Linked DNA regions of Saccharomyces cerevisiae S288C. The protein of the gene in region 2 interacts with the protein of the main gene of each other region in a biochemical or structural test. Each region holds a gene or a part of one and is shown on either strand. Other genes may lie near its edges. The genes, in order: PFA4 and YGL108C.

Region 1 (3,772 bases), on a different chromosome or scaffold from region 2:
GTTTTCCCCCGAAGGCATCTCTGTATCGACATTGAAAATTAAGATCCAGCCTATAACCTACCAACTGCATATTGAAAACGGGTCTTACGATGTTTTTACCCGTAAGGCTACTAACAAATATCCTACTATTGCTAATGATAATACTCAAAAAGGAATGGTTTCTCAGAAGAAGGAGTTGATATCAAAATTTCTAGACTGTGCAGTTGGTTTGAGAAATAATTTAGATGAGGCTCAAAAATTAAGTATGCAAAAAAAATGGGAGAACCTAAAAGACAGCATAGCAAAGACGAGTGCTGGAAACCAGGGAATAGAGAGTGAAACCGAAAAAGGTAAAATTACGAAACAGGAGCAGTCGGATAATTTGGACAGCTCTACTGCAAGTGTACTGCCTGCATCCATTACTACTGTACCACAAGATGATAATATAGAAACGACTGGGAATACTGAATCTTCAGACAAGGGGGCTAAGATTCAATAAGTAGTTTTAACTAGATTTAGAACAAAAATCTTTAGTACGACAGGGTCTTTCTTCTGATGTGTACCTTTAATTAATGTCAACGATATAACATTGTAATTTTAAAATTCTAAGTGTTTTTGAAGCTTTTTAAGACACATCGATCTTTCCATAAAGGAAGAAGTGATAACATGCAGTGGTTATATTTGTGTACTCATACACTGGTGCATGAATCTTTTTACACGTCATTAGCATAGTATGTAATCGAAAGGACACTATTTATAAGGGACAGTTTATACATACATATACTTGATATTCCCATGAATGAGTATTCTATTCCATATCAACATCCACTCCAAAATCGTCTAGTGATTCACCCCAGTCGTTGTACCACTTCTCACGAGAAGCATGTCTGCCATTTTGAGGAAGTCTGGTCCTTATTAGCTGTTCGCCACTTTCATTACGCATCTCTATTGTTGAGCTGCCATGATTGAAGACGGTGTTTGTTTTACCTCCATCTGGTGGCCAGGGAAGTGAAAGGATGTGGTCTTCCAATGAGGAGTTAGCCTCATATTTTGAAATACCGTTTTTTGGAAAATTGTTCCCATCTCCCGTAGGAACACCATATGGCCATAACCATAAATGAATGGGACCAAGGTACAGTAATGCATTAGTGTACAAATCAAAATCGTAAGGGAAATTTACAAGTTCATCAAAACGTGGCCTTTTTTTTGTCAAGTGTTCCTCAGCATCCTTTTTATTTTGAAACGACCTCGACTCTGGATATATTCTCCAAGTATTATCAATTAATTTCTGAGTTAATCTTCCGGAGTTGAACAAAGATTCTAGCCGATCCATATCCCACGACTCAATTTGAGATCTTCCATTCAAGATTTGATTGAATAAACATCGTAGGAAAAGAATTGTTATCGTTAGTAGGACAAAAGAATTTAAAGGACTCGATATTGTTAAGAAAATCAGTTCTGATTTTTTGAAGAAGTAGCCAGGCAAGTGCCTTTGTTGCCAAATAAAATATATCCGCTTAGCTTGTATGCAAAATAAAACACTAGTCGTCACTATGATCCAAAATAAGAATCTAAGGAAATGCGGATAGTTTGCAAAGCCGACGCAATTCATCGTCCACGGACAATGATGATCCATCATTAGGACGCATTGATTGCAGGTTTTACAATGATGTGAACGTTCTGGCTTATAACTTTGGCACTTCTTACAGAAATTCCGCCAGATATCAGGGGGTGGTTTGTAGTTGGGCAAAGGCCTTCCTGGATTTGTGCAGATGGCCAAGTAATAGGAGAGCCATATCATTGACAAACAGAACTCAAATGTTATTTGTTTCGGAACTGACAAGAAATTGGATAAAATAAAGTAGTGTGCACCATAGCCTATAAATGAAATCAGAAACGTTGGTATAGCAATTCCTAACCAAGGCCACCTTAACTTTACTGGCATGGTTTAACGATCAACTCAGTTTTTAAAATTCATGTTATACACCATCACCACAATGTAGGGACGATAATTATCGTATCTCAGATCCGCTATTTTTCATAAGCGCGTAGTAAGAGAGGTAGGTTTAACAGGATAATAAAAATATACATGAGACAGCCAATAAATAGTGGAAATAAGCCGTATTTTAAATTGAGAGCTCTTAGTAAGAAAAATGTTCCTCTGAGACGCTAAAGTCGTGTATATTTCATATGAGAAAGTGCACAAATCCTGCTTCCCTTCTATCTGGGAATTTCTTTTCTATATTTGAACATATTATTGTAAGGGCCTTTTTCTTTATTCTCTTCTCACATATAAGAACCATTTTATTATTTTAACTTTAAAACTACTTTCTATATAAATCCTACGTTTTTTCCAAATATCTAGGAGACAATCCCGTTCTCCATCTTTATATGGACTAACTCATAACTATTTAATAAACCTCTCAAGTGGCACAATGCCGCAATAACAACTAGAAAATGGAAAAGTTGGTGAGAATGACCCCAAATATCAAATTTACCGGGGCAAATCTTTTCAGGAAACCGCATTCCATAAAGAACAGCGCCAATTATATATAGGACACCCCCAAGTAATACCCAAAAGAGCTGAATTTGGGTCCAAATTTCTGAAAAACTATAGCAGTAAAGGCCGCTGAATATTGGAATAATTGAGGATAAACCAAAACAAACAAATAGCCCAGCTCTGTAAGGTCTCCACTCTCTTTTCCGAAACTTATCTTTTAGTGACACAATACTACACGCGATCCCAAAGCTAACGGTAATAAGCGCAAATAGGCAAAATAGGGAAAATTTCTCAAAATAGCCGTAGTACAAAATACTGACCATTGACGTAACAATCAATATACAAATACCAAGGTAGTCCAACTTATTTCCTAAGGTAGCAATTCTTAAGGAGTGACTCTTTAGACAATGAAAGGAGCTACTCAATATTAAACATGCAAACGCCCCCGAATAAAAGAGGTCGATTACCATATGATCTAGCCATGTAGTTGTTGCAAACACTTTGATAGTAGATTTATCTAGCAACAGTACAGTGAAGAACCCGAGAGCAGGAATTAAATGTGAATAAATATTGACACTTTCATTATGCAAATAAAACAAACTTTTAAAAGTTTCAATGAAGCTACTAGTTTCTTTCACGTATCCATGTAAAATAAAATCATTGTCTCTTTGCCATTCCGGAATTTCATCCCAACTATATAGCCTTCTTAGTACTTTTTTAGCTTTAGCGACCTCTGCGGGATTTGCGGATGTTTTCCCTGCAGCTCTCTTCTTCAGCTCTTGCACACTCTTAGTCCTTTCTAATAAAGTTGACATTTGGAATGATTCTTCTCCAACATGCAGCATAATTAAAACGACGGGAAATTTAGTACATTTGGCTCAAGGAACGCTGACATAAATACTATTTCTAATCTACTATTCGAAGAGATGTTGGATTTCTAAAAAAAAAAGAGCTCAACAACGGAAGACCGCCTATTAACCCCGAGTGTCTGTTTTTTAGTATACTCGAAGCAAACAAGAAAAGTTTGTTACTTAATTTCTGGCCTAAACAAGGTAGTGCTACCCTAGAGGAAGTACGATATCAGTACACTTTTGTATTTTTAACGAATTATGGTATTCTTTAAAATATTTAACATGCTATCGAGTTTTTCTTTCTAAAATGCGGTTTCAAAATTTGAGTCCGCTTTCTATGGAAAATATGAATGAGGCGAACGTGCTTGTACCATAGTCAGATTTTAACCCGTAGGTGAGAGCCTGAGGCTTCTGTAAACCACCTTGGAAACACATACGGGTT
Region 2 (2,963 bases):
CAATGAGCCATCGATCAAACCACGAATAGAATCTGGATTACGTCTAACATATACTTTGATCAAATTCCACAGGGAGTCACCAAAAATCTGAAGATGTAATAACCCGCATTTCTTGATCAATGAAAATATCCAGCCTTTTAGTAAATATAACTGTTCAGACACATCATGGTTGATACCGAGACTTAATAACTTTCCTTCCTCATCAGCAATTTCATGCAAGTAAGTTCTCAAAAATAAACGAAGATGATCAAGTGTAGATTCATCTAATAATTCAACGTTAGCACCTTGCATCAAATACTCAAAATACGTTACATAGGTTTCTATTAGATGCAGCCATACTACGGGGTCCTTTTCAATTAATTGAGCTCTGAGTTTAAACGGTGGAAATTTGACAATGGGCAGAGAAATATCTGCATTACCCCCATTTATTTCAATAACGCGGTTGTACCTTGATAACATTATTCTTAGTGATTCTATCCTATAAAAATTTCCAAGATTCAATAGTTAACTCGAATGTCTCTCATTTATGAGAACTAGTGTTTTATATTTTCATTTTTTCTATGGCCGCGCAAAATCCATTGGCAGATATTCAGGTATATAAACGTTACAAAGCCAAGAGGAGAATGGAAGGCCAACAAAAAAATTCTTGTACAATTGCATATATTGATTCATTACAATATTACTGCCGTCGTTCTCTCAGTCATAAATCATGTTTTCCCTTTCCCTCTCAGCATGCTTTTTCTCGGCCTCTTCCATTAAGCGAGTCTTATGAGACTTGGCACGCTCTTGAGCTAGCTTTTTGCCTAACTCGCCCTTATTGTACTTTTCATTCGTCTCTTGAAATCTCTTCTCAGCAGCTAACCTTGCGGCCTCCTTTGGGCTAACTTTATTTTTGCTCGGATCACTTGTATCAGTTAATTTGCTGCCTTCTTTCCTTTGCACAACCGGGACAGTTGTACTCTTTAGTTGTGTCTTCTTCTTTTTATCTTTCTTCTCTTTATGTCGAAGTTCTTGCTTTGACTTGACTGTATCACGATTAATTGGTTTTGTTCTTGCTTTAGTTGCCACCGTCGTAGTTTGTGAAGGCATTGGTTGGGTTTTACTTCCGCAAAGCCCCATACTATGTACTTAAATATTTGTTGTTGTTTGCTGGTGCAAATTTCCTGGATGATGTTAATGATAATTATAGACCGCTTTTATATAGTCTTATGCCTATCCTTTTCATTTTTATTTTTCTAGAGGGAAAAAATCGCTGATTACATGAGGGAAAAAAATATACACATTTCTTGATCATAGAAGATTCGATCTTATATATTATACGTTTAAATGTTTATTTACAAGCATGCATAAATTGAGATGGGGAGAATGAATGCGCTAGTACTATTGCTCCTTAGCAATAAAGCTATGTAGTTGAGGAACAGGAATGTCCTCGGCACTCAAGTCAGAATAACCGCTCAGATACTCATTTAATATTGGGTATGACTCTGCGCATCCAGTGGTATACCTATATACTTGCTTGGTAGCGCGAAAGTAGGGCGTATATCTTTTTAATATTTTCAAGTACAGCTCTATTCTGTCTTCTGAATTCGAAGTAGAATCCTCATTTTTCAAATTTTCCAATGGCTTCGGAACTTTTATGTCGTCTTCTGTGGTCGTAGTCGTTGCTGGTGTTCCTTTAGCTTTTGCAGAAAAGACCTTTTCATCCCTCTTTGATTGTGACCATACGACAGTGGCATCCCTCAAAGCGGACAGATCAGCATTGGCTATATATTGTTGGCCCAATTCATTCAGTTTCTTGACCAACTCCAGCCATCTATCCAGAATCTCTTCATTATTCGTGTTGTCTATGCTTCCCAATGATTTCAGTAGTATTCTATATGATATAATAGTTCTTGGAATATGGTACAAAGTATAGTTTTTATCGATAAAATCGATTATGCTGCGTTCGTGCCAGATAGATGCTCTAGTTAACATAACGTTAAAAAATGGTTCATCAATTTTTTTGACCCCACTGTAAAACGTTATGATTTCTTGAAGCTTACGGAAACCATTGATATTGTCATTAATATAGTTTTCGAAGAATATTGTGAAAAAAGTGTTGTTTAGTGAGGACAAAATTCCAGGATTAACAGTGTTACCATAAAATTTTACAGCCTTTTCCCATATTCTATAAACATGATCAAAATCGTTCTGTGCTTTCCATATATTCTGCAAAAAAGAGTTCACTGTAGAGACTTGTAAAATAATCTTGTATGGCATTTCATCGTTGATAATTTTGTCAAAGAAACTTTCTGCCAACGTTAAATTCTTGGAATCACCAATGAAGCTTAAGTGCGTTTCAATTAAATAACCGTAATTCCTCACTTCAGCCTTTTCACATAATTGGCCGAAGAGGGATAATGCCTTTTCGTAGTCTTCCGCCTTGATGAAGACTTTTATCAGTCCGCTGTAAAGATTGGGATGGATAAATTCTTTGGATTGAATAATTTGGTTATATAGCTCGTTAGGCTCAGTCAGAGAACGCGTTTTTGCATAAAGTAATGGCAGCATAAAACCAACCACTTTTGGTTCTTGGAATGCCTGTGAAGTAGTCTCGTCGGACAAATTCTTTGACGCTTCCCAAATTCGAATACAGTCATCGTCAAATGACAGCTCTTTAAATGAAGTCAATAGATGAGTAGCTCCATATCCGCTGACAGACACCTTGCCTATCAAAATGTCATCAGATATATCCTTTAATGAATTACATAGAAAGTTCATCATTTCCTTGTGAAAAGATTGCGAATCGTAGTCTGGCTTTCTACTTAATTTTACCAATTGGTCTCTCGTCGACCTCAGACCGTTATGCAGCAGATGAATCAAACGTGACACCCGGTACGCATTGAAATCAGGCGATTCTCTCAAAGAATAGTATAACTCCATTGCTCTGCCCATGGAGTCCCAAAACATGGCGAATGATGGAT

The links.
Region 1: of the proteins of YGL108C (region 2) and PFA4, one has a biochemical effect on the other in vitro, tested with the Saccharomyces cerevisiae proteins (one study listed by BioGRID).

The regions. Positions count from the first base shown.
Region 1 is NC_001147.6:321,071-324,842, forward strand, and holds PFA4 (palmitoyltransferase PFA4), read right to left. Parts: upstream 1,925-3,772; coding exon 788-1,924; downstream 1-787. Other genes in the region: transcriptional regulator SIN3, read left to right, coding at 1-478; IZH2 (PAQR-type receptor), read right to left, coding at 2,341-3,294. UniProt on the Saccharomyces cerevisiae protein: Mediates the reversible addition of palmitate to target proteins, thereby regulating their membrane association and biological function. Palmitoylates several amino acid permeases.
Region 2 is NC_001139.9:302,953-305,915, forward strand, and holds YGL108C (uncharacterized protein), read right to left. Parts: upstream 1,120-2,963; coding exon 697-1,119; downstream 1-696. Other genes in the region: CUE3 (Cue3p), read right to left, coding at 1-459; RMD9 (Rmd9p), read right to left, coding at 1,381-2,963.